Saccharomyces cerevisiae S288C: one gene and its partners. The protein of the gene in region 4 binds, or shares a complex with, the protein of the main gene of each other region. Each region holds a gene or a part of one and is shown on either strand. Other genes may lie near its edges. The genes, in order: MTR3, SKI6, RRP4 and RRP42. A codon is read from its position in the direction of its gene.

What was found.
Region 1: the proteins of RRP42 (region 4) and MTR3 are in contact, whole or in part, in a cryo-EM structure (PDB 5G06), measured with the Saccharomyces cerevisiae proteins. Residues at the interface, in NP_010172.1 of Saccharomyces cerevisiae: Leu90 (codon at 2,730), Glu93 (codon at 2,721), Thr94 (codon at 2,718), Thr96 (codon at 2,712), Ser97 (codon at 2,709), Leu98 (codon at 2,706), Lys101 (codon at 2,697), Lys104 (codon at 2,688), Ser107 (codon at 2,679), Asn211 (codon at 2,367), Leu213 (codon at 2,361), Lys221 (codon at 2,337), Ile222 (codon at 2,334), Thr223 (codon at 2,331), Ser224 (codon at 2,328), Pro225 (codon at 2,325), Ile226 (codon at 2,322), Arg227 (codon at 2,319), Ser228 (codon at 2,316), Ala230 (codon at 2,310), Asn232 (codon at 2,304), Asp233 (codon at 2,301), Ser234 (codon at 2,298), Val236 (codon at 2,292), Lys237 (codon at 2,289), Ser238 (codon at 2,286), Phe239 (codon at 2,283), Lys240 (codon at 2,280), Pro241 (codon at 2,277), Leu244 (codon at 2,268); in NP_011674.3 of Saccharomyces cerevisiae: Gln90 (codon at 986), Thr107 (codon at 935), Asn108 (codon at 932), Glu109 (codon at 929), Lys111 (codon at 923), Glu112 (codon at 920), Ser115 (codon at 911), Phe116 (codon at 908), Gly119 (codon at 899), Asn122 (codon at 890), Ser123 (codon at 887), Ser163 (codon at 767), Ile165 (codon at 761), Ile204 (codon at 644), Glu208 (codon at 632), Glu209 (codon at 629), Ile210 (codon at 626), Val211 (codon at 623), Gly212 (codon at 620), Phe213 (codon at 617), Trp214 (codon at 614), Lys215 (codon at 611), Asp216 (codon at 608), Asp217 (codon at 605), Gly218 (codon at 602), Asp220 (codon at 596), Leu223 (codon at 587), Leu224 (codon at 584).
Region 2: the proteins of RRP42 (region 4) and SKI6 are in contact, whole or in part, in a crystal structure (PDB 5OKZ), measured with the Saccharomyces cerevisiae proteins. Residues at the interface, in NP_010172.1 of Saccharomyces cerevisiae: Phe40 (codon at 2,880), Leu41 (codon at 2,877), Pro42 (codon at 2,874), Ser43 (codon at 2,871), Arg49 (codon at 2,853), Ile51 (codon at 2,847), Gly55 (codon at 2,835), Glu57 (codon at 2,829), Ile59 (codon at 2,823), Ser61 (codon at 2,817), Lys63 (codon at 2,811), Gln77 (codon at 2,769), Asp79 (codon at 2,763), Asp81 (codon at 2,757), Ala83 (codon at 2,751), Phe125 (codon at 2,625), Asp127 (codon at 2,619), Leu129 (codon at 2,613), Ile131 (codon at 2,607), Ser132 (codon at 2,604); in NP_011711.3 of Saccharomyces cerevisiae: Thr31 (codon at 3,679), His32 (codon at 3,676), His34 (codon at 3,670), Ala35 (codon at 3,667), Lys48 (codon at 3,628), Ile50 (codon at 3,622), Leu52 (codon at 3,616), Asn77 (codon at 3,541), Thr79 (codon at 3,535), Lys80 (codon at 3,532), Phe81 (codon at 3,529), Lys83 (codon at 3,523), Arg86 (codon at 3,514), Glu125 (codon at 3,397), His127 (codon at 3,391), Leu129 (codon at 3,385), Glu130 (codon at 3,382).
Region 3: the proteins of RRP42 (region 4) and RRP4 are in contact, whole or in part, in a cryo-EM structure (PDB 5G06), measured with the Saccharomyces cerevisiae proteins. Residues at the interface, in NP_010172.1 of Saccharomyces cerevisiae: Met1 (codon at 2,997), Ser2 (codon at 2,994), Leu3 (codon at 2,991), Ser4 (codon at 2,988), Val5 (codon at 2,985), Ala6 (codon at 2,982), Glu7 (codon at 2,979), Ser9 (codon at 2,973), Tyr10 (codon at 2,970), Leu11 (codon at 2,967), Asp13 (codon at 2,961), Ser14 (codon at 2,958), Ser17 (codon at 2,949), Pro19 (codon at 2,943), Ile21 (codon at 2,937), Arg22 (codon at 2,934), Pro23 (codon at 2,931), Asp24 (codon at 2,928), Gly25 (codon at 2,925), Arg26 (codon at 2,922), Leu27 (codon at 2,919), His29 (codon at 2,913), Gln30 (codon at 2,910), Phe31 (codon at 2,907), Arg32 (codon at 2,904), Pro33 (codon at 2,901), Ile34 (codon at 2,898), Glu35 (codon at 2,895), Ile36 (codon at 2,892), Phe37 (codon at 2,889); in NP_011936.1 of Saccharomyces cerevisiae: Ser2 (codon at 5,480), Val4 (codon at 5,474), Ile5 (codon at 5,471), Thr6 (codon at 5,468), Ile7 (codon at 5,465), Thr8 (codon at 5,462), Lys9 (codon at 5,459), Arg10 (codon at 5,456), Asn11 (codon at 5,453), Gly12 (codon at 5,450), Ala13 (codon at 5,447), Phe14 (codon at 5,444), Gln15 (codon at 5,441), Asn16 (codon at 5,438), Arg115 (codon at 5,141), Lys164 (codon at 4,994), Glu165 (codon at 4,991), Gly166 (codon at 4,988), Asp167 (codon at 4,985), Leu168 (codon at 4,982), Leu194 (codon at 4,904), Arg195 (codon at 4,901), Asn196 (codon at 4,898), Gly197 (codon at 4,895), Met198 (codon at 4,892), Phe199 (codon at 4,889), Trp232 (codon at 4,790), Asp283 (codon at 4,637), Asn285 (codon at 4,631), Ile289 (codon at 4,619).

What each region holds. Positions count from the first base shown.
Region 1 is NC_001139.9:804,769-811,668, forward strand, and holds MTR3 (exosome non-catalytic core subunit MTR3), read right to left. Parts: upstream 1,254-6,900; coding exon 501-1,253; downstream 1-500. Other genes in the region: CHO2 (phosphatidylethanolamine N-methyltransferase), read left to right, coding at 1-281; NSR1 (Nsr1p), read right to left, coding at 1,644-2,888; RTS3 (Rts3p), read right to left, coding at 3,861-4,652; YGR161W-C (uncharacterized protein), read left to right, coding at 5,459-5,737.
Region 2 is NC_001139.9:885,711-892,650, reverse strand, and holds SKI6 (exosome non-catalytic core subunit SKI6), read right to left. Parts: upstream 3,770-6,940; coding exon 3,029-3,769; downstream 1-3,028. Other genes in the region: SNG1 (Sng1p), read left to right, coding at 1-154; FYV8 (Fyv8p), read left to right, coding at 465-2,918; XKS1 (xylulokinase), read left to right, coding at 4,776-6,578; PDX1 (Pdx1p), read left to right, coding at 6,910-6,940. UniProt on the Saccharomyces cerevisiae protein: Non-catalytic component of the RNA exosome complex which has 3'->5' exoribonuclease activity and participates in a multitude of cellular RNA processing and degradation events.
Region 3 is NC_001140.6:229,176-236,443, forward strand, and holds RRP4 (exosome non-catalytic core subunit RRP4), read right to left. Parts: upstream 5,484-7,268; coding exon 4,404-5,483; downstream 1-4,403. Other genes in the region: SSF1 (rRNA-binding ribosome biosynthesis protein), read left to right, coding at 160-1,521; hydroxyacyl-thioester dehydratase HTD2, read left to right, coding at 1,795-2,637; DYS1 (deoxyhypusine synthase), read left to right, coding at 2,958-4,121; TRM5 (tRNA (guanine) methyltransferase), read left to right, coding at 5,706-7,205. UniProt on the Saccharomyces cerevisiae protein: Non-catalytic component of the RNA exosome complex which has 3'->5' exoribonuclease activity and participates in a multitude of cellular RNA processing and degradation events.
Region 4 is NC_001136.10:261,114-268,007, forward strand, and holds RRP42 (exosome non-catalytic core subunit RRP42), read right to left. Parts: upstream 2,998-6,894; coding exon 2,200-2,997; downstream 1-2,199. Other genes in the region: TRM3 (tRNA (guanosine(18)-2'-O)-methyltransferase), read left to right, coding at 1-2,112; TMA17 (Tma17p), read right to left, coding at 3,399-3,851; YDL109C (putative lipase), read right to left, coding at 4,145-6,088; TFIIH complex serine/threonine-protein kinase subunit KIN28, read left to right, coding at 6,585-6,612, 6,694-6,894. UniProt on the Saccharomyces cerevisiae protein: Non-catalytic component of the RNA exosome complex which has 3'->5' exoribonuclease activity and participates in a multitude of cellular RNA processing and degradation events.

The DNA of each region.
Region 1 (6,900 bases), on a different chromosome or scaffold from region 4:
CTACACCATTTGAAATTTCATTGCCGGTACTAAATACCACGACACCTGAACTGTTTGAGAAGGATTTGACTGAGTTTTTGACGAAAGTCAACGTTTTGAAGGATGGTAAATTTCGTCCATTAGGAAATAAGTTCTTCGGGATGGACAGCTTGAAACAATTGATTAAGAACTCAATTGGCGTCGAACTTTCGTCTGAGTATATGAGGAGAGTCAATGGTGACGCTCACGTTATTTCGCATCGCGCTTGGGATATAAAACAAACGCTTGATAGTCTTGCTTGAGTTTTTTTTTTTTGAGTATATATATTTAAAAAGTACTAGGATTCAAGTTAACATTTTGAATAGAAGTAGTTATGTTGTTGTAATATAATGGAGCTACCATATATGCAGAATGACATTATAAATTATGATGTTGATGTACAATGCCTTTGTGCGCTTCTTTTACCATGAATTTTTTCTTAACCTCTTTCACTTTTCTTTCCGACTAGGATAATCTCGTGTCTAAGTTTCCTGGTTCATTAAACAGCTTATCATTAAATCTCTATAACGGTTATATTGCTCCTTGCAACGATCAAGGCATTCCAAAAGATCTTCATCGTCACCATCATCCTTCCAAAAACCTACAATTTCCTCTCCATTTTTGATGAATGATACGACAGTGCCATTGGCCTCACCGGCACCTGCCATATCCACTAATTCGATGCCGGCATCAGCTAAGGCTAGCGTTATACTAGTGATACAATGTGGTATGAGAGATGATATTTGAGAAGACATCATTTTGCTTTGCGAATCGTCGTCCTGAGGATTATTTGTAAGATCCTTATCATACGTTAAATAAACGAAGATATCGATGCCGGACTTGGGGTAGCGAGATAGGTTTACTACTGAATTGAAAATGCCCATTAAAAAGCTGCTAACTTCCTTCAGTTCATTTGTGTTATATTTTTCCAGAAGACCGTTCTTTAACTGAATAGATATAGTACCTTGAGATGTGAAGGATCCTCTAATGGAGCGTGGTCCATAGACAGCGGTAATGAGCGATGTTTGGTGTCCTAAGCTTCTAGCTTCTACTAATGCAGATCCATTGCAGTTTTCGATGAAACCGGTATGTAGAGAAAGTTCCTGTTCACTTTCATTGCCTTTAGGTGTCAAATCTGTTGATTTCTTTTCTGGCACATGAGTAGTAGTGTTGCTAAACGCCATTGGCTTGGCAGCAGCAGGGCCTAATAACCTCCTTCTGTCTTGAACATTCATTTATTCTGATAACACCTTAATGTGAGTATGTTCCTACTTTTAAGTGGAGTATGTGCTAATCCTTAAAGGAAGTTTTCGTGGCTCAATCAAGCACAACGCCCAAGCTTTTATTTAGATATTCATTTCATATTACTGAAATTTTTTGAGTATTTTCCAAGGCCTTGTAATCTTCCGTATCTAGCGATCTCATCTCATCGTGAAAAAAAAAAGAGTAAGCCATTCGAAGAAAAGTTGGCAAATAGAGATGGTGAATGAAAGGTTTAAGAATGTATCCTATTTACTTACTAATGTACACAAAATATTATAGACCAAATTTTTCCTCAAAAATGGAATATAGTAATTAACGTAAAAAGAGAAAAAATTGAAATTGAAATTCATTTCATTTTCTCATTAATCAAATGTTTTCTTTGAACCAGCGAAAGAAGCGGTATTTCTTGATCTGCCCAATGGAGCAGTATTAGCACCAGAACCAGATGGTCTGAAACCGCCACGGCCACCGCGAGCGCCACCACGACCACCGAATCCACGGTTACCGCCACGACCACCGCCACGACCACCAAAACCACGGCTACCGCCACGACCACCATCGTTGTTTGGTCTTGGAGAAGAGAAGTCTAATCTAACTGGTCTGTTGTCAATGTATTCACCTTGTAAAGCGTCTAGAGCCTTCTTGGCGTCCTCCATGTTGGAGAATTGAACATAACCGAAACCTTTTGGTTGTTCAGTTTCTGGATGTGTTGGGATACGGACGGAAACAACTTCACCGTGTTTAGCGAATAATTCGAAAATAGCGTCTCTGTCAGCATTGAAAGATAAGTTACCCAAGAACAAAGTGTCAGATGGTTCAGATGGGGTATCACCGAATTTCTTGGCACGATCGTTGTTACCAGCTGGCTTGCTTGTGGACATATCACAGTTGATTGGTCTACCATCAATTTCCTTACCTTGCATTTCTTGAATGGCCTTTTCAGCATAAGATTTGTTTTCAAAATCAACGTAACCATAACCACGAGATCTATCGGTACCTCTTTCATAAATAACTCTGGCACCAATGACACCACCGATGTGTTCGAATTCCTTCTTCAACCATTCGTCATCAATAGACCACGATAGTCTACCAACGAAAATAGTAGCTGGTTCTTCGGTTTCTTCATTTTTTTGCTTCTTGTTGGAAGACTCTTCGTCTTCTTCTTCTTCGGCGTCCTCAGATTTACGTTTCTTATCGTTAGACTCTTCCTTTTCGCTTTCGCTATCAGAAGATGAAGATGAGGATGAATCAGAGCTAGAAGATTCTTTTGATTCTTCCTTCTTGGTTTCTTCTTTTTCTTCTTCTTCTTCTTCGTCGGAAGAAGAGTCAGAGGAAGAGGAAGAGGAATCCTTGGATTCTTCCTTCTTGGTTTCAGCTTCACTTTCGCTGTCAGAAGACGATGAAGAAGAGGATTCAGAATCAGAGGATGAAGATGAAGATGAAGATTCAGATTCAGACTCAGACTCAGATTCAGATTCAGATGAAGATGAAGATGAGGATGAAGATTCGGAGGAAGAGGAAGAGACGGCCTTAGCTTTTTCTTCTTTGGCTTGTTTGGAAGCCTTAACTTCCTTCTTGTTACCTTTTACTTTAGTAGTCTTAGCCATCTTATTTTATCCTGCCTGGGTTGAGTGATCCGAAATTGGTTAACAGTTCGTCTTTGGGAAGCAAAAGTAAGAAAAATACTACGAAAGGAAATAACTTAAGGTACCAATGGATTGGGAAGTGCAGACAGCAACAGCTACACTTAAGTACTTTTAATATTGGATTGAAAATTTTCGTTCTTGCGATGAGCTGCCCTTGCAAATTTTTCACCAAAAAAAAAAAAAAAAAAAGAAATGGAGTGAAAAAAGAAACGAAAAAAAAGGGCATGGGGACCCATACATCAGGCACTTACCCCCAGGAAGGATTACGTCTTTAAATCAGAGGATCAAAGGGTAATTAACAACCACCAGTCGAATTGCTGTCGTCTTTCTTCAATTGCTTTATCCAAAAATCTGAATGGATGTAAGTATTGCCCAGTAAGTTTTCTTGGCAAAATAACCTATAGCGAAATAGACAATCAACGTGATGGGGTTTAAATAGCTAGCGGTAAGTAACCACTAGTAGAACGTAGCTCCATAGCGTGTAATTTGGCGGCAAAATATGTGAAGCAAGCATATTCGTTATTACTTAGCTGCCTGTGAAATCCTGTCTGTGCCTTCTCTTTGCCTTTACTTTGTATAAAAACATATCAACACTGTCTCTGCGTATGAGGCCGAGGTATTTAGAGCATAAGAAAAAATGTGAACAAAAATAGTGTCATCTCCAGTAAGGCTTAAATGTATATTGATTTTCTATATATATATATATATATATATATATTTATGAAATAAACCATATAATTATAAGTAGTAGCTTGGAAAAACGCCAAAGTTGTACTTAGAATGAGGTTTTAAAAAAAAATTATAAAAAAAAACCAAGCGAGAAGTCACGCTTATAACGCAAGTGCACGAACTGCATATGTGTTGGATTGCCAAAGATCAATAGGAAGAATATATTTAGAGAAACTCTGTTTTCTTATGTATCTCGCTTACAGCCTATTTCAATGAACCAGTTTGGAATCTCTTTGCCATGAGATCAGCCTTTAAAGAGTTTGAGCCATCGAGACTGTAATTGGAAGAACGCCTTCTCCTGTCATGAAGAAGAGCACCGGATTCGGTTAAATCGCTAGACGAAATGCCGCTTAGAGAACGTGGAAGAAGAGTGTGATGTGGAAGATCGGCGGAGGGAAGGTTTCTGTTTGTTGTTGGTGCTGAGTGGATTTTAGTCTCAATGGGGAAAATCGTGTCTGAGATGCTTGTTCCGTTAGATATGGAAGCGTTCCGGCTTGACCTTCTGGCGGAATGGGAAATGTGGGTCATGGAGTCCTTGGGTGTTAAGGGAAGTACGGTGTGTCTGGATGCACCATCTGTGAGCTTTAGCTTTGGAGTGTCGAGGGTGTAACCATAATTGCAGTCATCATCATCTAGGATGGCAGACTCGCCTTCGAAAAATGGAGACGACCTTCTAGCCGGGACCGGATGGTGCAGTTGATTTTTTAACCTAGAGTTTTCTTCTTTTAAAGTTTCAATTTCCCGTAGAAGTCTTACTACAATAGCGTCTTGCTCCTTTTCCATTTCGTTTATTATTTCTTCCCTCGAAAGCCTTCTCTGTGCTGACATTGGTGACGAAGAAGGAGACGACGACGTCGAAAGTCTGCGAGGATCACGTGCTACAGCTGGTCTCATGGCTCTTGTAACTGAAGTTTGTCTCTCTCTGCATGGTTTGGCAACAGCCTTCTTGTGTTTTGATTCTTTATTCATGTTTACGGCTCTGGAGGTAGCGATCATTATACTTTATCTTCTATTAATGCTATGATTGATGAATTATACGTATGTATGTATCTGTAAGAAAATAGCCGAATGATTGATTATCTTTTCTTATATATGATTCAAGGGAACGAAAAGAAGACAAGATAATGTTAGGCAAGATAGTTTTTTAGACGACTGAGGCCGAAGATAAGCTTTATATATATGCAAGTCTATTTTTGTACGGGCGAAACCATCTAAGCCAACGATAACAATAGCCAGCTATGATCGTTGAGTACAGCGTGGGGCAATTTTTAGCGTGATTGATAAGGGCGCATTATCTCATCATCCATCGCCAATTTGGGACTCTAACGGCAAACCTCGGATTTCCGTGGAAACGCATGGAAAAATTGATCCGGGCTGTGAGGGGAGTCGAGTCAGTCACTTTTTGGCAACTCTCTCCGTCATGACCACTACTCCGCGGTAGCTGCCAAATTTGGTATTTCCAGGTTGTTTTTTGTGGACAGCCCGCGATCATATGTAAGAGCAGGATGTGTCATCCGCGGGTGAGGTAAACGCTGGCTTGCCATTATGGTTTTTTGGTACGTGTTGAACACGTTGCTTACGATCTTGGTAGGGGCGGGCTGTGATGTGAGAGCCACAAACCCGCTTCCTCGTTGTGGCTCTGGCGCTCCGTTTCTTCTTTCCCCCGCCTTGTAATATGTCGTGCATGCGTCCATGATGATATCGTATTTATTGTATATTGTGGTGATTTCGGCATATTTTAGCACATCTGTAGTATACCACAGAGCTAAAACAACCGATTATAGTCAACATTATACAGCATTATGTCTGGATACTTCAACCATCTTTCTTCGAATGCACATTTCGCAAATATTCAAGCCGATCAGGGCTTCATAGGTGATGCTACTGGCACAAGCAGCGATCATGGCAGTAGTGGCATGGTTGATTTTGCCCTACAACTCGGAGAACTGAGCCTAGAAGAGAAAATACTTAAAGAGTTCACCTTATTCCAGAGCAAGAACATGGACTTATTGCAAGAGACGGCGACGGCGTGTCCGAGTACTAATCCTTCCTTGAGACAGAGCCGAATTCAAGGCTGGTGAACGCCTGATGCGAGCTATACGTTTTGTGCTCACCGTGCACATATGGTGGCTACTTTTCTACTCAAACACGTTTGAAAAACGGCATACGATTAGCTTACAGATTGAACTCAAAGAAGTCGCAATGGGAGGTGCAGAAGATGACGTGTTACTTAGTTTATAATACAATGTGTTTTATATATCGATTCTTCGTTTATGCATTTCTGGACGATTGCTTTTCACTGTAAATACGCACTAATATTCATGAATATAAAAAAATGTAACATCATATCTCAATGTTCTTCTCCGTCAGTCAGATAGTGGCAAGGCTGTGATAGGACATTCTTAGAACGCCAAGAAAATCAAAAATTTGAACGGTATCTAAATTCATTTGTCGAACCCTTGAAGAAACTCACAGAGCGGGGTATCTACTATTTTGTTTTCGTTCTTTTGAATCTCCGCTACGTCACATTTTCTACAACCCTCAGGTCCCCTCACCACGAAAATCCAAGATTTGTAAAATATGAGCCGCGTATTTCTGCAATGGTAGAAACGATAATGTACCTATCGTACAACGATACATTATTTTAGTGCATTATAAGCCGCTTGATTCATGTTGATAATTAGCGGCTAAATTGTAGTAGTCATTCAAAATAATCGTACACCTTCATATAGTTATGAAAGGGGTATAAAAGATGAACGCTCGTTGGCCATGTCAAAGGTGCCTTAAAAATAACAATGCTTGCGGTAGTACGTGTGCAAAGTGTATATTCGCATGAGAGGTGATCGGAAATTGCTTTATCGCCCCACTAATTCTGATTCTTATTCAAATATTTATGTCACGTAGCGAGCTTACTTATCCATATATCAAAGGAAATCCAGATATAAACTCAAACTAATTCTTCTGTTTCCACGTAACTAGCATTCACATTGTAGTTTTCTAGATTACAGCAATTTATATATATTGTTGGAATAAAAATCAACTATCATCTACTAACTAGTATTTACGTTACTAGTATATTATCATATACGGTGTTAGAAGATGACGCAAATGATGAGAAATAGTCATCTAAATTAGTGGAAGCTGAAACGCAAGGATTGATAATGTAATAGGATCAATGAATATTAACATATAAAATGATGATAATAATATTTATAGAATTGTGTAGAATTGCAGATTCCCTTTT
Region 2 (6,940 bases), on a different chromosome or scaffold from region 4:
ATCCTTGATGCCATTTTGTATGAAGTTTGCAGGTAAAAAAATGCAAAAAAATGCTATGCAAGCAGCAGAAGCCGCTGTCGCAGCAGCTACCCAGCGTGCTAGCCGCCCGGCAGAGGCCAATACTGATAAAAATAACAACCCGCCCGGAAATTAATGGGTAGGGTTAATAGCTTATTCATATATACACTTAATACGATTAAAAATTATTTATATTCTCATCATCATAAGATGAAGATGCAAATATCACAACAATTATATAACGTCGTTTGTTTGTTTGGTGACACATTAGTGTTTCATTCCGGGTAGCTATTTTGTTTTTCTCATGCCAAGAATTCTGTAAGGCACTTAAAAGTATTCCTAAATACCACTTTCATACATGGTTAACAAGGTAAACACAAAACTTGCATTATAGTTAAAAGGGACTGTTTGATCATTACCCTTTTTCTGGAAAGCGGATATTTATTATGAGCACTGAACAGGTCGGTAGAAAGAAATCGTATAGATGGGTTAGCGCATCTCAAGCAAGTTATGACGGCGCTGGATGGGACAGTAGTGACGAATATGACTACTCTTCCGAGGATGGCACAAAAGGTTCAGAAATTCACAAGCAAAAAATATCTAATTTGCCTAGTTTACCCAAGCTCAATTATACAGATGTTAATGGTGAGCATGATGAAAATACGGGTGAAAATAAAGACAGCAATGATAATAACGTCAGTAAGAGTGATATTAGTCCTAGTGACAAGGAAGTAGGCTATCTCTCAGATGGGGTGCCTAAACTTATGGCTTCAAGAGAGTCTGTGGAATTACAAGCGAAAAAATCCAGCGAGCACTCCAAATCAGATTATCTTTCGTCGACAGCATCTTTGAAAAGTCCAAGTGAAAACAAAAAATCACCACATACAAATAGGGCTGTAAACGAAGACCTAGACAATTTGATAGAGCAAATATCAAGGGAGATGACACCAGAAATTAGGCAAACATCTGATTTTCGGCGTGATTCAGACAGTTGTGACGAAATCCAAAACGAAGCACCATTAGGGGAAGCGGTACCCTCTTCATCATCTCCTGTAGAAGAAGATGAAAAATCACATTCCTTAGGGGTTTCAATGGATACTAATGAAGCTGATACCACTTTCAATACGCCAACAAGGAATGGAAATGAACATTTGAGTAGTGATGGCGATGTTTCTGAGCAGAAAGACGACGAGTTTAAAGTTTCCGAAAGAGGCTACCTTGCAGATATTCTGCCTGCGGAGAAAGAGGAGAATTTACAACAAGAAGATGATGGTGAAGTCGAGAGCTCAGGAGCTTTGGAAAAGAAAGAAAAAAGTGAAGAAAAGACTAGTATTAGGAATAGGAACTCTACATCTAGTGGGCAAGATAAAGTAGCAAAGCCGAAACCCGTAGCAAATGAAACAAAAACTAGTGATAATGGATATCGAAATTCTTTTTTCAATGATTATCAGCATTCGTCAGACTCTGAAGAAGATGATAACAACGAAGGCAACAGTGGTAGTAGTGATGATGATAATCGATCTTCGGTTAGTGATAAACATGCTGATATTAACCGGCAATCGAAACAACTTGATACAACTGACGATGATGCATTGTCGTATACCGAATCAATAAAATATTCGACAAATGAGACAGAAGAAGAAGATAATGAAGATAATGAATCCATAGAAGACAAAAACGAAGATAATGAATCCATAGAAGACGAAAATGAAGATACAGATAGCTATAAATTTTCTAATAGGGAAAAAGGTTCCATTCTACTTACGAGTGATGAAGAGGAGGAGGAAAAAGGTATGAGCTCTGATTCAGATGAAGGCAGTCTCAAGGCGCCCAAATCAGGTTATTTCTCCAAAATGATTGGTAATGATGATAAAGGTGATTCAGCATTGCAACCTAATCAAATAGACACCATTGAAAATACCAATTTGTCAAATAGCGGTTCTGAATTGGAAAACAGCGATGGCAGCGATGAGGAAGACCACATAAATGAAGACAAAGTTTTGGAAGAAAGTTCAGTTAAAGACTCCACTGATGTTGATTCTTGGAAGCCGGACAGTGAGGCCTTACGATCAGGGTTCGTACAGGATACAGCCAATAAGAAAGCGCCACCAGGTTACGTGATCGATTCTAACGGGAAGCTAGTAGATTTAACACCTGCTAGTATGAAACCACGTGTTGTATCGACTTATTCAGAGATGGAGAGTACTTGGGATGCATTCCCTTCCAAAGGCGAAGATGACGATTTGGAGACAATCAGGGACACTAAGACTATATACGACAACAATACGATTTATAATGTTCCCGGTTTGATTGGTAACCAATCGAATTTGCCACCTCTACCGATGGACGCACAGGAACAATTAAATGCAGGAAACGATAATAGTACAACAGATAATGATAATAGTAACAATACTGCCAATGATTTGGCAGCGCGCAGTGCATCTTTCAAAAGTGAAAACAGAACAGTATCTCAAGGCGAAATGACAAGCGTCCATGAACCCAGTACTGAAGAAATGGCGAAATTGGGGCAGCAGAATAACTTACCGAAATTAGATATGAATAAACTACTGAACAGTAAGACTTCGCACGCCGGTAAGATAGAACAGTTGAGAAATTATAAGCGTGAGCTAGATGAATATGATACGGGGATACAAACATGGATAAATTATACGCTAAAATCATCCTCTAATAAGGATAAGGATTTCATAGCTGAGGAGTATAAGCAGCATAGTCACGTTAGGGAAGCATATGCGAACGCGGACGATTTGAGTAAGAAGCATACTGTCATTAACACGGTTGCTAGTGTCAACCAAAATGTAACGCACTTAAGGAGAAAAGTTTTCCAGCATTCTATGAAACCAAAGGATTTATTCGCATCAATAGGTAAGAAAAAACTGTAAGCGTTTTGCTTTACGGTAGAAACACGAAAATGTAAATGCGTTCAATTTTCAATTTTACTGTTTTTTATGTACTTTTATATAAACAGTGGCAATTAATGGCGTTTTTTATTCTACCTAGCAGAGGCGTTACTGACTCTTTTCTGAGCATGTTTCCTCAGTTCTTCATCCATCAAATCTCTTACCCTATGAGCACCTGCGATGCCGATGGCAAGAACGTTCTCTAACCTATCTAACGGAATTTTGTCTTCCACCAATAAAAGAGAAAGTTTTTCTGACTTCCCTACCACACCTAGTGTCACTGTACTCATAGCATTTTCTTCTAATGAATTGGTATCTAATAATGGGGTAGTATCGTACAGCCCGACGGATATACCACTTATGTAATCGAACATTGATATACCGGCATCTATTAAAGCGAGGGTAATACCGTTGATTAAAGATCCCATAATACCGCCATCTTGCTCAAGGACATGGATCTCGATATCGATAACTGTTCTGGGGTAGATATTCAGCATGACATTCTTCTCAAACATCCTCACCAGGGAGGTTTGTATCTCAAGAACACGCCTTTCATTCTTGTGGCTTGATTTACTTCTTTCGAATTTGGAGAATTTTGTAATGTTTACCGATACGTTCAATAAAGCCTTTGAGGTATCCATTTGAGATTTCAATCTTGGCTCTTTTGGACCTTTAACAAGAGTGATAATTTTGTTGTTACCTTGTTCCATGTAGGATGAACCGTCTGCAGCGTGCGGATGTGTGTTGATGGAACTTTCAAAACGGCGGAGTTCATTCCATCGACGTCCATCGAGACGTAGCCCTTCTGGCGAGTATATTTCTAGTCTTGACATATGATGATCCTGCTGTAGTTATGGCACTAAAGTTTTTTTGTAAATCTTTTTATATGTTAATAGATTTTACCAGTGGGACCCTGGAAAGAAAATATGTGTAAATGATGTTTTCTTTTGGATGATGTTCATTGCACAATGGTTCGCAATGTCATTCATTCATCCATTTCTTCTAGCTTTTCAATTATTAATGCCTTAAAATTTTTCAATTTCACCGCGTTACCCGAAGATGTAAATGTACCTACTCAAATAAAAGGTTCCTTGCTGGTTGGCTTTCGTAGCTAAATTGAGTGCACGTTACAAGATTATAAATGCGTTTATATATATATATTCCAGTGAATGATCTACTTTTGCTTAAGCGGCAGAATTGCAAATCTTAATTTTTCTTTTTTGTTTATGTTTTATTTCCTTGTGACAAATAAAATTTTTTTCTCTTCTGAATTTTTAAAACTAAAGAACAAAATATTAAAATAAACAAACAATTCTCCACTTTTTCTTCTTTTGGTATAGAAACTGATAGAAATGTCCTAGACCCTTAATAAGCAAAACACTCATCATTATAACGGGAAAAAATTTGAAGCAAGCTCAAAAGAGATATATATATCATCCAGCATAGACTACTATTAATTTCTATCATAATTGCAATAAAAAAGGAAATATTTAGGGGATCAAGACCATTATTCCATCAGAATGGAAAAAAGTTTAAAAGATCACGGAGATTTTGTTCTTCTGAGCTTCTGCTGTCCTTGAAAACAAATTATTCCGCTGGCCGCCCCAAACAAAAACAACCCCGATTTAATAACATTGTCACAGTATTAGAAATTTTCTTTTTACAAATTACCATTTCCAGCTTACTACTTCCTATAATCCTCAATCTTCAGCAAGCGACGCAGGGAATAGCCGCTGAGGTGCATAACTGTCACTTTTCAATTCGGCCAATGCAATCTCAGGCGGACGAATAAGGGGGCCCTCTCGAGAAAAACAAAAGGAGGATGAGATTAGTACTTTAATGTTGTGTTCAGTAATTCAGAGACAGACAAGAGAGGTTTCCAACACAATGTCTTTAGACTCATACTATCTTGGGTTTGATCTTTCGACCCAACAACTGAAATGTCTCGCCATTAACCAGGACCTAAAAATTGTCCATTCAGAAACAGTGGAATTTGAAAAGGATCTTCCGCATTATCACACAAAGAAGGGTGTCTATATACACGGCGACACTATCGAATGTCCCGTAGCCATGTGGTTAGAGGCTCTAGATCTGGTTCTCTCGAAATATCGCGAGGCTAAATTTCCATTGAACAAAGTTATGGCCGTCTCAGGGTCCTGCCAGCAGCACGGGTCTGTCTACTGGTCCTCCCAAGCCGAATCTCTGTTAGAGCAATTGAATAAGAAACCGGAAAAAGATTTATTGCACTACGTGAGCTCTGTAGCATTTGCAAGGCAAACCGCCCCCAATTGGCAAGACCACAGTACTGCAAAGCAATGTCAAGAGTTTGAAGAGTGCATAGGTGGGCCTGAAAAAATGGCTCAATTAACAGGGTCCAGAGCCCATTTTAGATTTACTGGTCCTCAAATTCTGAAAATTGCACAATTAGAACCAGAAGCTTACGAAAAAACAAAGACCATTTCTTTAGTGTCTAATTTTTTGACTTCTATCTTAGTGGGCCATCTTGTTGAATTAGAGGAGGCAGATGCCTGTGGTATGAACCTTTATGATATACGTGAAAGAAAATTCAGTGATGAGCTACTACATCTAATTGATAGTTCTTCTAAGGATAAAACTATCAGACAAAAATTAATGAGAGCACCCATGAAAAATTTGATAGCGGGTACCATCTGTAAATATTTTATTGAGAAGTACGGTTTCAATACAAACTGCAAGGTCTCTCCCATGACTGGGGATAATTTAGCCACTATATGTTCTTTACCCCTGCGGAAGAATGACGTTCTCGTTTCCCTAGGAACAAGTACTACAGTTCTTCTGGTCACCGATAAGTATCACCCCTCTCCGAACTATCATCTTTTCATTCATCCAACTCTGCCAAACCATTATATGGGTATGATTTGTTATTGTAATGGTTCTTTGGCAAGGGAGAGGATAAGAGACGAGTTAAACAAAGAACGGGAAAATAATTATGAGAAGACTAACGATTGGACTCTTTTTAATCAAGCTGTGCTAGATGACTCAGAAAGTAGTGAAAATGAATTAGGTGTATATTTTCCTCTGGGGGAGATCGTTCCTAGCGTAAAAGCCATAAACAAAAGGGTTATCTTCAATCCAAAAACGGGTATGATTGAAAGAGAGGTGGCCAAGTTCAAAGACAAGAGGCACGATGCCAAAAATATTGTAGAATCACAGGCTTTAAGTTGCAGGGTAAGAATATCTCCCCTGCTTTCGGATTCAAACGCAAGCTCACAACAGAGACTGAACGAAGATACAATCGTGAAGTTTGATTACGATGAATCTCCGCTGCGGGACTACCTAAATAAAAGGCCAGAAAGGACTTTTTTTGTAGGTGGGGCTTCTAAAAACGATGCTATTGTGAAGAAGTTTGCTCAAGTCATTGGTGCTACAAAGGGTAATTTTAGGCTAGAAACACCAAACTCATGTGCCCTTGGTGGTTGTTATAAGGCCATGTGGTCATTGTTATATGACTCTAATAAAATTGCAGTTCCTTTTGATAAATTTCTGAATGACAATTTTCCATGGCATGTAATGGAAAGCATATCCGATGTGGATAATGAAAATTGGGATCGCTATAATTCCAAGATTGTCCCCTTAAGCGAACTGGAAAAGACTCTCATCTAAAATATGTTTGAATAATTTATCATGCCCTGACAAGTACACACAAACACAGACACATAATATACATACATATATATATATCACCGTTATTATGCGTGCACATGACAATGCCCTTGTATGTTTCGTATACTGTAGCAAGTAGTCATCATTTTGTTCCCCGTTCGGAAAATGACAAAAAGTAAAATCAATAAATGAAGAGTAAAAAACAATTTATGAAAGGGTGAGCGACCAGCAACGAGAGAGACAAATCAAATTAGCGCTTTCCAGTGAGAATATAAGAGAGCATTGAAAGAGCTAGGTTATTGTTAAATCATCTCGAGGGAAAAATTCAAAAATGCTAAGTGCAATTTCCAAAGTCTCCACTT
Region 3 (7,268 bases), on a different chromosome or scaffold from region 4:
AGACGAAATTGAAATTTTTCACTGAAAAAAAAAAAAAAAAAAAAGTAGACGAAGAAGCTCATCTCATCGCGATATTAGTTCGATATCTGGGTTTGAGTGAGTAGTATGTTTAATAATAAAAGAGTATAATCCAGATATAGCAGACAATAAAATTTCAAGATGGCCAAGAGAAGACAAAAGAAAAGAACACATGCACAGCTTACACCTGAGCAGGAACAAGGTATACCTAAGTCAATGGTAATCAGAGTGGGTCAAACTTCTTTGGCCAACCATTCTCTGAACCAATTAGTAAAGGACTTCCGCCAAATCATGCAACCACATACGGCTATAAAATTGAAAGAGCGCAAGTCCAATAAACTGAAGGATTTCGTTGTTATGTGTGGCCCATTAGGTGTTACGCATCTTTTTATGTTCACTCAATCTGAAAAAACAGGAAATGTCTCCCTAAAGATAGCTAGAACTCCGCAAGGTCCTACTGTTACTTTTCAAGTATTGGACTATTCTCTGGGTAGAGATATCAAAAAATTTTTGAAGAGACCTAAATCGTTGAATAATGATGATGTATTAAATCCTCCATTGCTAGTGCTAAACGGGTTTTCCACATCCAAAAGATCTGGTGAAGACGACCAGGATGTAAACGTGGAGAAGGTCATTGTTTCTATGTTTCAGAATATTTTCCCACCTCTGAATCCTGCGAGAACTTCTTTGAATTCTATCAAACGTGTATTTATGATCAATAAAGACAGGGAAACAGGGGAAATTTCTATGCGCCACTATTTTATTGACATTCGAGAAGTAGAGATCTCTAGAAACCTAAAAAGGCTTTATAAAGCCAAAAATAATCTAAGTAAAACAGTGCCGAATTTGCATCGAAAAGAAGATATTTCTTCTTTGATATTAGATCACGACTTAGGCGCCTATACATCAGAATCTGAAATTGAAGATGACGCTATCGTGAGAGTAGTTGATAATCAGGACGTGAAGGCAAAGCATTCTCAAAGTTTGAAGTCCCAAAGAACACCGGTCGAAAAGAAGGATAATAAAGAGCGTGAAAAAGAAACAGAAGAAGAAGATGTGGAAATGGAGGAACCTAAGCCTTCAGAAAACTTGCAACCAACCCCACGTAAGAAAGCTATCAAACTAACTGAATTAGGACCAAGATTAACTTTAAAACTGGTCAAGATAGAAGAAGGTATTTGTTCAGGTAAAGTGTTACATCATGAATTTGTTCAAAAATCAAGCGAAGAAATCAAAGCTTTAGAAAAGAGACACGCTGCAAAAATGAGGCTGAAGGAACAAAGAAAGAAGGAACAAGAAGAAAACATTGCTAAAAAGAAGGCTGTTAAAGACGCTAAAAAGCAACGTAAATTGGAAAGAAGAAAAGCTAGAGCAGCAGAAGGAGGTGAAGGTCAAGGAAAAGATGATGCGATGAGCGATGATGAGTCTTCATCAAGTGACAGCGAACATTATGGTAGCGTACCAGAGGATCTAGATAGTGACTTATTTAGTGAGGTCGAATAAATTGTTCTCCGGTACCAAGAAAATTTTAGTTAAGCCTGGCTATCCACCAACGCACGTATACTTCTTCACTTTAGATAAATTGCATACTTGATACATATAAACTCTTTGTCTTTTAAATCATAGCCCAAAGGAAACGTAGATCTCAGAAGGCATGTGAAAAAAAATTCGATCTTACCTTTTTTACGCCATTTTAAGCTACTGTTTCGATACATGAGCGTGGCTGGTACATTGAAGGTGGGCAATCGTCCACTTATCTAAAGACAGCTTATCAGCATGAAATCCAAAACGTGGATTTTCAGGGATGTCTTATCTAGTCACCGAACCAAAGCGTTTGATAGTTTACTTTGTAGGAGACTCCCTGTATCAAAGGCAACGAAGCATCTTCAACTGGGAGAACATTTCCTGTTCTTCCCACCATCATTCGAAAAATTGGATAGAGATGGTTATTTTAACTATCAAAATCCTGCAAGTTTGCTAGGAAACCCTGATTTACGCTACCGTAGAAGGATTTGGGGACAAGGAGAGCTTGTTCAGTATTTACCAGTCACCTTAGACCAGGAGTATACATGCCACGAATCAATCAAATACGTAAAAAAAATACGAGATGAACATGTTGTCTGTATTGAAAGAACCCTTTTACAAGAAAGGCCCGAAAATGTGTCGAGTCCAATGGACATTTGCTTATTCGAGAGAAGGGTATTAATGTACACCAATTCACCCGCAAACAAGACTGCAGTCAAGATGCCCGTAGGAGAGGAGAACTATAAGATCTTAAAAAATTTTACTGTTACTGATATGGATATTGTAGCTTATGGTCAGATGTCTTTGAATCCGCACCGAATTCATTGGGACAAAGAGTACAGTCGCTATGTTGAAGGCTACGACGATATTATCATGCAAGGACCCTTCTCGGTCCAATTACTACAGAAATGCATCCAACCTTTTCTCGAACAACCAATCAGACAGTTGCGATACCGCAATTTGAATTATATATATCCAAACACTACTTTGAGCATATGTCAGTCTTTAAGCTCTTCGAGCGGAATGTACACATTTCAAATTAGGGACCTCCAGAAAGCCAACTTAGTCTACATGAAAGCTGATGTTTTCTGTTGACTACCAGTAATTGTCTCTCTGCAGATAATCACTACCTGTGTGTTTCTTGTCTCTTGAAATAATACTAGTAGCTGCTGAACAGTGGAAGGTCACGAACGAGATTACCATAATATCTCGCCATCACCAGGTTGACGGTAAACGCATTACGGGAAGAACTGAAAAAAAGGTGGGAAAAAAAAATAAAAAGTAAAGTGAAAAATTAAATGTAATGTATATTTCCATTTTGACGCAAAGTACTTCCCTCTATCAGTTTTGTATCTAACTGCAGAGTAAAGTCGTGTTTTGCTTAGTTAACTTATATACAAGTCAAAGCAAAAAAGATGTCCGATATCAACGAAAAACTCCCAGAGTTACTACAAGACGCTGTCTTGAAAGCATCTGTTCCTATTCCAGATGACTTCGTTAAGGTTCAAGGTATTGATTACTCAAAGCCTGAAGCCACTAATATGAGAGCAACTGATTTAATTGAAGCTATGAAGACCATGGGTTTCCAAGCTAGTTCTGTTGGTACTGCCTGTGAGATTATTGATAGTATGAGATCATGGAGAGGTAAGCATATTGACGAATTGGATGACCATGAAAAGAAAGGTTGCTTCGATGAGGAAGGGTACCAAAAGACTACTATCTTCATGGGTTATACTTCTAACTTGATCAGTTCCGGTGTACGTGAAACTTTACGTTATTTGGTGCAACACAAAATGGTTGATGCTGTCGTTACTTCTGCTGGTGGTGTGGAAGAAGATTTGATCAAATGTCTTGCTCCAACTTACTTGGGTGAATTTGCTTTGAAAGGTAAATCTTTGCGTGACCAAGGTATGAATCGTATTGGTAACTTGCTTGTTCCAAATGATAACTACTGTAAGTTTGAAGAATGGATTGTCCCAATTTTGGATAAGATGTTGGAAGAACAAGATGAATACGTAAAGAAACATGGCGCTGACTGTTTAGAGGCTAACCAAGACGTGGATTCACCAATCTGGACCCCATCTAAGATGATAGATCGTTTTGGTAAGGAAATCAACGACGAATCCTCCGTATTGTACTGGGCCCACAAGAATAAAATTCCAATCTTTTGTCCATCTTTGACTGATGGTTCAATCGGTGACATGTTGTTTTTCCATACTTTTAAAGCATCTCCAAAACAACTAAGAGTTGACATTGTAGGAGATATCCGCAAAATCAATTCAATGTCCATGGCCGCTTACAGAGCCGGTATGATCATCTTGGGTGGTGGTTTGATCAAGCACCACATTGCCAATGCTTGTTTGATGAGAAATGGTGCTGATTATGCCGTTTACATTAACACTGGTCAAGAATACGATGGTTCTGATGCAGGTGCAAGACCTGACGAAGCTGTGTCTTGGGGTAAGATCAAGGCTGAAGCCAAATCCGTCAAACTTTTTGCTGATGTCACCACTGTTCTTCCATTGATTGTTGCTGCTACCTTTGCCAGTGGTAAACCAATCAAAAAAGTTAAGAATTGATGAGAGAATTTTGAGATGAAAAAAAAAAAAATGAATCTGTACTATTTCTTTTTTTAGTGCAAAAGTTTTGTTTTAATATAGAGATAAATAAAAAAATGAACATATTACTATAATATCAACAAAATATGATGTAATGTCTGCAATAAAGATGAGTCAATTGCATTTCTATACGTACTAATCGTGTGTACATAGCCATGACATTATGTAAGTTTATACACATAAATTGCGTTGGAGTCTGCTGTGTAGTTTATAAATGTGTAAACAGCGGCTTTTGTATTCCTATTAGTTGCCGTTACCTCTCATTTTTTCGGCGGTAAGAATGTCACTGCCTATGGATTCCATTACATTTTTCTCAATCAGTTCACCTACGTTTGAATAAACCATACTAGCTTCGTAAGCACTTACTATACGTTGTTGAGTAATGCCTATTTCACAGAACGCTAACGCTTTGATCACGTTCGCATACCGGCAAATTGCTTGTCGTATGTTGTTCGATATGGAAGGATCGTTTTCATCCGAATATATTTGCCATGAAGACTCTTCTTCCAGTCTTGTTATGGAGGGATTTAATGATACCGCACCAGTGGGTCCAGTTGATTTAATTGAGGAACTGTTATTTGCAGACGGCGTATCCCTCGCTAAGTCCATCTGAGATGTTTTCCTTAACCATATGTAACCATTGACTCCGAGAACTACGGTTATGTTGCCGGGCAAATTATGAGTATGGTTCTTGGCTCTCACTATTAATGAACTCGGGACTTGGCAAAACATCCCGTTTCTTAACTTCCCGTACTTTAGAGACCTTGTATGTAAAGAGGCACTACCATCTTGAAATAATGATTGAACTTCTGCATTCAGGAGGTCACCTTCCTTAAGGAAGCTTCTCATTTGTAGTTCATCACTTTCAGATTTTCTTCTTAGAATACCACCCGGTAAATTCACAGAGCCCAACATAAGTACTGCATGTTGCTTACCGCCAATGTCTACTTTCCATCTCTTGTTACCCACTTCAGCAATTCTCCCTACGACGTGATCACCAGTTTCTGGGGCATAACGACCTTTCAATGGAATTACCGATAGCAGCCTATTGACACGGGATACAGTACCAGCAACAGAGGAATACGTCATATTATCAAGAAAATACGTACCGTGACCTCTCATCCAGATAGGGTCATCAGTGACCAGCTCACCTGGCGTCACAATTTGAGAATCAGACTCACTTTTAGAAGCTGAGTTAACATCGTGCATGTAGATATCTTCTTCATCATTTTCATCATCTGATATCCCTGTGTTGTTATAGGACAGGTTAGATGAATTTTGGAAGGCACCGTTCCGCTTGGTAATTGTGATAACTTCGGACATATCTGTTTACGCTTGTGTGACTACGCAAAGATTTAGAATGCAAGCAGTACTTAAGGAAGGATATTTTTCTTCTACTTTTGTTTTAGTTTTCTTAATTTTTTTTTTTTTTTCACCTCATCGCTCAATCCATACTGAGGAAGAAAAAGAAAAAAAAAGATTCACTGAGGATATTTGAACAAACCAGTTTAAACCATAAGTAAAGGTAAGGATATTTTTCATTGCATGAAAATCGCACTGCCAGTATTCCAAAAATTTAATAGATTGATCAGTTCGTGCAAGATGTCAGGAGTGTTCCCATACAACCCACCCGTGAATCGCCAAATGCGAGAATTGGATAGGTCATTTTTCATCACCAAGATACCAATGTGTGCAGTCAAGTTCCCCGAACCCAAAAATATCAGTGTGTTTTCTAAAAACTTCAAAAATTGCATCTTGAGGGTGCCCCGTATCCCGCACGTTGTTAAGTTAAACTCATCCAAGCCAAAGGACGAACTGACAAGTGTACAGAACAAGAAACTAAAGACTGCAGATGGCAATAATACCCCAGTCACGAAAGGTGTGCTGCTACACGAATCCATCCACAGCGTGGAGGATGCGTATGGAAAATTGCCTGAGGACGCCTTGGCGTTTCTTAAGGAAAACAGTGCGGAAATTGTACCACACGAATACGTGCTCGATTATGATTTCTGGAAAGCTGAGGAGATTCTTCGAGCCGTGCTGCCCGAGCAATTCCTGGAAGAGGTTCCAACGGGTTTTACAATCACAGGCCACATTGCCCACTTGAACTTGCGCACCGAGTTCAAACCATTCGACTCGCTCATCGGACAAGTCATCCTTGACAAGAACAACAAAATCGAATGTGTCGTGGACAAAGTCAGCTCCATTGCCACACAGTTCAGGACTTTTCCTATGAAAGTCATTGCTGGGAAAAGCGATAGTCTAGTGGTAGAGCAGAAGGAATCCAACTGCACTTTCAAATTCGACTTTAGCAAGGTGTACTGGAACTCCCGATTGCACACAGAGCATGAAAGACTCGTCAAACAGTACTTCCAGCCTGGCCAAGTAGTCTGTGATGTTTTCGCCGGCGTGGGGCCCTTTGCTGTACCTGCGGGCAAGAAGGATGTCATCGTTTTGGCTAACGACTTGAATCCTGAGAGTTACAAATACTTGAAGGAGAACATCGCATTGAACAAAGTGGCCAAGACCGTCAAATCCTTCAACATGGATGGCGCTGACTTCATCCGCCAGTCGCCACAGTTATTACAACAGTGGATTCAAGATGAAGAGGGCGGCAAGATCACGATCCCTCTGCCTTTGAAGAAACGACACAGATCCCAGCAACACAATGACCAACAACCGCCACAACCACGCACCAAAGAGCTGATCATTCCGTCACATATTAGCCACTATGTCATGAATCTACCAGACAGCGCCATTTCTTTCTTAGGAAACTTCCGTGGCATCTTTGCAGCACACACTAAAGGCGCCACTGATACCATCCAAATGCCATGGGTGCACGTGCACTGTTTTGAGAAGTACCCGCCTGGCGACCAAGTCACTGAGGACGAGTTGCATGCACGCGTTCATGCCCGTATTATTGCCGCGCTCAAGGTCACTGCAGACGATCTTCCGTTGAATGCCGTTTCGTTGCATTTGGTGCGCAAAGTTGCACCCACCAAACCGATGTATTGCGCGAGTTTCCAACTTCCAGCTAACGTATGAAGCGATCTGCTCTTGCAGTTTGCCGTGGGAGGAAAAAGGCAAAAAGGCGACCATTAGAAAAAG
Region 4 (6,894 bases):
TACTTTGAACTTTTAAATACCTTCCTGAAAACATACGCCTTAAATCGTGACTCTTCTGAAGGAAATGATGATGAGCTTCACATACTACTACGCTTAGTTGACGAGAATATTAACAAAGATAATGGGAATTATCTGGGGAACCTGGCAGTCTGTAAATTATTGTACTTTATCATAGATTCCTACATCCATTGCTCCACATCTGTTTCTGATGATGATATTTTCATAGTGAAATTCATTTTTGAGAAATTTTCGTTTATATGGGAATGTATTAATAGTGAAAGATTAGTTTTGAAGGAAAGGGATCTGCATTTGATGCTAATTAAGGGATTATTTCATCCTGTGATCCTGTACTTTGGATCAAATCAGTATATCGATACTTTGACCTCGAAGTTGGAGGAACATGCACAAACGATTATATCATTGAGTTATTCCAGAAGAAGCCTACTCCCTCTTCTCGGATCACAACTCAGAGTATTTATGAAGTTTTATGGGAAATTGTTAAGAGAAGATGTCAACTATTGGTGGTTGATTAACATTATAGTAGGTGTTTTCAAACAGCCGCAAATGGATGTCAACCTTTACAAGCTCAAACCTGTTATTTCCAGCCTATTTGACCACAAACTGAACAATTATTACATAAAAGGCGATGAACTTTATGAAAAGGTGTACGGACCCGACGAAATATTGGCTAGAGTATCTATTATTGATTCTATTTTATATGCAAATGATCAGTTGAAAATTCGATTAATCGAAAAAGTTACTGAAAAAACAAACGCACTTTATGCTATAAAGAGAACCGACGGTGCCGAAGCGTTACAGAGGTTGTTGCAGTGGCAATTGTTATTATTATCACTACTAACCACCAATGAAAAAAAATTAAGCGAAACTAGCATGATCAGAATTCTAAAGAGTATCGAGGATGAAAGTTCACCACTAGTAAGAGTATATAAAGAATGGTTCATTTCCTCAAAGGTTGTTGATTATTATAAAACTGGCAATCCAAAATTTGCTGAGGATTATCTCTTCTCATTGCTGGAGGATCATAGCAAACCGGTGTTTGTAGTTAGCGCAGAAAAAATATGCTTTATGGTGTTGAAAGATTTAAGAAACGACGAAAAGAAATATGGATTTACACAGTTACTAGACAGATTCATTTGCACGTTAGTTCCTAACGCAGCTTCAAACAAACCTCTGGTAAGGCATTTTTCTAATTCTCTAATAATTTCATTATGGCCTACATTCAAAGCCTACCTATCGGATCACACACTGAGAAACATCATTGAGAACTTATATTCCAATGCCAAAAAGACTCAAATATTTGGTCAATATCGTGCCGGGGATGCCAACATATGGGATCTGAAGGGTGATAGGAAATTAACGAACATGTTTGGTGGTGTGCTCAAAAAAGTTACCGACCATGATTGCCCGTACATTTCTGAGTCTGTTTTCGAAAAATATTTGCAGGAGAAAGATATTGTTCCTATAGGTACCGATGAAAGGTCCTTATGGCTTGATAAAAGAGACACCAATACGGAATCTGTTAACAACGCGAACATCTCCTGTGACACTTCTCCACTGCAAACAAAAAGTGGAGCTTGGGAAACCGTTCTGGATCTGGACAATAAAAAATCGAATGATGTCGTTACACGTTCTGAATTGATTGTGGTATCTTCATTAGTTGATAAGCCGCCAAACCTGGGAGGTATTTGTAGGTTATGTGATGTTTTAGGTGTGGGACTGCTTACTGTACAAGACATCAAAGTCAAAAACCATCCTCAATTTAAAAATGTTGCTGTGACTGCTGATAGATGGATGCCCATGGAGGAAGTTGCCCTAGATGAGATTGCAAGTTTCATGAAAGAGAAAAAGAAGGAAGGGTACACATTAATTGGGCTAGAGCAAACGGATAAATCAGTGAAGCTAGACAACAATTTCCAATTCCCTAAAAAATCATTGATCTTGCTAGGAACCGAAGCATTCGGTATTCCGGGGACTTTGTTAAGCGAATTGGATTTATGTTTAGAGATTCAACAATTTGGTGTGATCAGATCAATGAATATTCAAACGGCAACCGCAGTTATCGTTCATTCCTATACAGTTCAACACATGTAAGAATCAGGTTTCATTCCCACTTTTGTTAACCATGAAGTTTTTAGTATGTAAACTAATTTGTCTTTTTATCTAATTGTGACTATATTTTTATAAATTCTCCAGTGATCGTACTACGTCGGGGGCGTATTTCTCCACCATTGCAAGACCTTGCTTCAACAAATGAGGTTTAAAGCTTTTAACGTTTGAATCATTCAATGCTACTGATCTGATAGGTGATGTAATCTTACCATTAGACCAGGAAATGATTAGGCCATTATTGGCCACTTCGCTTTCGTTGGCTGCAGGGTCCAATAGCATATTGTTGCCTACAACGGCCAATATAAACACTAAAGGCGGATTAATGTCAAGCTTAACCATGTCGTAATCATGAAACGTAGGAAGTTCTTCCACCTCTAAGTCGTCAAAAGCTGAAATAAGTTTCGGTAGGTATGTGGAGTTCAACGCTGAATAAATAGCAAAGGATATTAAAGAAACTGGGTGTGAATGTGATGAAATGACCAGAACATCGACAAATATTTTGAAGCTGTACTTTTTTGTCAATTGCAACTTTGAGGAATCTACTCCGCTACCAGACTTCAAAACCTTGTTCAGTAAAGAAGTGATTGTCTCTACTACCAGCGCGTCATCTCTTTGGCCTGCGATATCTACATCGACCTGAAGTAGTTCATTCTCCACATGATGATCCACAACTTTGGACTTAATGCTCACGATACATTCACTTCCATCACTAGCTATAATTCTGGACGATCCATTGGAACTTGGTAGGAAGTCAGTAAATATTTCTATAGGTCTGAATTGATGAGGTAGTCTTCCATCGGGCCTAATTGAAGGCGTGCTTGCTAGTGAATCGTATAGGTACGACTTTTCGGCGACCGAAAGAGACATAAATGATTATTTCAACAGAATCTCAAACTGTCGTTGTGCTAGTCAAAAAGAATGCCTTTTGCCGTCTACAGACTATTAGTATCATTGTACTCCTTCACCATATAAGCTCTACGTTTCTTTTTTCTGAATATTAGAAAAAAATTTCGCCAACTAGGGTTCAAAATAATAGACTAGGGCACGGAAGAAAAGCACACCCTAGGGCTTTCGGAGATAAATTATTAATAGCGAGTTTTTTTTGTATTTACTTATTTTATTATTTCTTTAAGATATCTAGTAGTAAGGATAGAACGGGTAGATAGAATAGACAAATGGAGTTATTGAAATATTTATACGAAGAGATAGAACAGAGAGACAAAGAGTATGACGTGAAAATGATGCGCAGTAAAACTAAATCCCGTCTCTTAAATGAATATGCTGTTTGGTGTCACGACGTCCACATTTGAATTGTCCATGTCAACGTCAGGGCCCTTGTTGGTGTTGTCCTTTGCCTCTACCTCGTGCTTACTCTTGCCATGGCCCGTCTTTCTATATACCGTTTCTTGCTCCAATGCGTCCACTCTCTCATTGTAATTGTTTAGCACAATTTCGTTCTCCCTGACAGAGTCCTTGTACAGCGCCAGGTCTCCCGAATCAATGTTCTCCAAGTCGTCGCTGTCGTCAGCTTCAAGACGGTCGTCAGCACCCTCCAACTTAGCTATGTATTTACCCAAGCGGGCGTTAGACCTCTGCAAATGATTGATACTGTTCTCAATTTCTGTTTTAATCTGTGCCAACTCCATGTCGGACATGCCGCTTATCGCCGTCTTAAATTCTTCGATCTGGATTGGTCTTCTGATACCGCCTGCTGAGCACATTATGTTACTTGTAGTAGTTATTATGTTTTGATTTGCTTTATGTTTTATAAAGATCTTACCCCTCTTTTTGTCAAGAGAAATAAGCTTCTGAAGTATTGTTTTCCTGGTGAAAAGTGTCTTATTTATATGGAGAAGGGATATTCGGCCTCGGTTTTAGGGGAGGAGCTGAAGAGTTGTCCCGCTCGAAAAAGACCCGTAAGCGCATTTATCGAACTACGAAGTAAAATGGACTTTCGTAGGTGTGGACAATAGTAAATTGCAAGTCAATCCCGGGATGACGTCAAGATAGACAGTCAATCTGTCACAGAGGAATGCTTGCTAATCCAGGAGCTGGCGAGCTGGCTAGCTGTGGAGACTATTCCACCATGGTACACACTAGGATCCTCGATCTTGGTGAGCCATGAGTAGAACTTGTTTGGTTCCACCCCTCCGGTTGCCATGTTTATATCTTCCTCAGCAAACTGTTTATCTTGCATTGGTGAGGCGATTGGGTCATCTCTTTGGAAATGGGCGGTAACAAGGTGGTCAACCACCGGCCAGCCGTAAGCGTTGGAAAACCTTCTTCTTACGATGATGTTATTGTGGGCATCTGGTTTCAGCAATACCACGACTTTCCTCCAATGCATCCCCTTGTGCCAGCGGCGTGCTATGATTTCCTCCATCTCTTTTCTCGTCTTCCTCGTTTCGCCTTCCTTGGCTGCTGTTCCTTCATAAAGTGTTGGTGATGGAGGCGGTAAATTCTTTTCTGTGTAGATCTTATCATGTATGATTGTTGCGACCCTTGCATCGGGATCTGAGAAGAACTTTGCGTCGGGGCATGGTGATAGAAGCACAGACTTCATAGATTTGATGACGGAAGCATTCATCAAGCGTTTAGATTTCTTGTCGCAGTTATTTTCCTTGCTCTTCCAAAACGTGTTCCATGACGATGCATTGATTCCATCATCATCATTAGCAACATCGCTATGATTTGGAAGTTCCCCAATAGGACTTACTTCAGGCTGGAAGAGAGGATCACAAGGTGCCGTAGTTTGACCTCCCAGTTTCTGAAGTAATTGAGAGTAGTCCAAAAAAAGTAAAGAAGAGGAGTACAAGGGAACTATTCCGTCGTTGACGGCATTAGCATAAAGTGTTCTTCTTTTGAATCGAGCAAGCACACTGATTAAGGATTCCTCGGATAGCAGGTAAAGTAGGGGCTTATCACCATAATTTCCATCCTTAAGACCCAGTTCTTGCCCCGTAGTACCAATGATACCCATCGACAATGACATTTTTACGTAATTGGGCGTGCTGGTAGCAATGCCTAGCAATGGTGACGCCAGTGAGATAAAATTGATTGGCTCCACTTTCTTAAAGAAATATGGATATTTGGTCTTTATGTAACAAATAGCAAAAGTTTGTGTTAATCCACCCAGGGAATGACCAATAAATGAAATTTTCCCAACAGAGTCATCATATAACTCGTCGATGATGTAGTTTGCCAATCCAACACCCAAAAACTTAATACCCTTCTCAGTCTCACAAGCATTCTTCATATATCCCTTAATAACTAGTCGCTCATTTGGATTGTTCATTTGAGCCTTGTATATTTCTTCCATTAAGTATTCCATATCTGCCGAAACGTTTGATTGAAAACCATGCGTGAGAATGACTAAATGGGATTTTTGCGACATGTCTATGGGTCGTGGTACTTTCCATATATCTGCGGTGGTAAGTCTATGCACCGATAATCCTGTGTGTAAAATATTGCAGGCTTTATCAGGCAATGAATCATTACATCGTATTTTTCTTTTCAAAGAGGCCTTTGAATTGCCGACTACTATCTCAAAAGTTACCTTAGTTTCTTTATTAAATAGTATTTGACTGACAATATCCACTATCCATACATAGCGTGGCTTAATGTGGTGCAAGGACAACTCTGCAATAAACTTTTGTTGTGCCTGTAGGTTTGATTGAAATACTGGTTTATCCGCCGAACATATGATCTTATACGAGCTTTCGTAATCTTTTGCTCGCACGTCACAATATAAGATAAATGGGCCCAATAGATAGGCTGGTTTATAGGATAGCTTTGTGGTATTTTTGATCTTTACCCATAGGGAATCCAGTGTGATATCAGCGGGAATACTATCACCCTGGTATAGCTCATATGTAATAACGTATCTTTCTAACTCACCTAACTTTACTGACGACTGATTGTGGTATAGCACTTCATCAGCACTCCTGCCAGCTTCCATATTACTACCGTTTCCCCGATGTTTTTGGGTGAATAAGGTCAGGTGAGCATTTTTTGTACTGATATTTTTTCTCTTTGTTTGCAGACACAACGCTTGCTGTTAATACGCTAAAAACATACCACACTACCTTGAACAAATCCTCCAAGAGAAATTTGTAAGAATTCAGAAGCGGTTTCAGGGGAAGTCGGCTTAGTTGTCAATTGTAATTGAAAATCACCCTCTAATTTGAAAGATTTTCAGTTTCAATAAGACATCAATCTTGCCAGTTTGTAATTTTTTGGTATATAGAAATGGTCTTCAAGCATAAGCCTTAAGAAAGATTCGTCCATTGGATGAACCTACAATTTTTTTTGTGTTATGATGTGAAGCTTCATTTGAAGCATTGTGCAGAGAATATTACAAGTAGATTCAAAAAACACATTGAAAAAAAATACAAGTGAAATCACAGTTACTTAAAAGTCATCAAAAAAAATATTCCCGGCCTCAGAGCGAACATATGAAAGTGAATATGGAGTACACAAAGGGTATGTGGGGGTTATATATTGTCGTCTTTCTTTTAACATTCAATAATGATACTAACGTTGATTAATGATGATTCATCGCAGAAAAGAAAGTTGGTGAGGGTACTTATGCGGTTGTTTACTTGGGTTGTCAACACTCTACTGGAAGAAAGATTGCTATTAAGGAGATCAAAACATCCGAATTTAAAGATGGTTTAGATATGTCAGCTATCCGTGAAGTTAAGTACCTCCAAGAAATGCAGCATCCGAACGTCATAGAACTAATAGACATATTTATGGCTTATG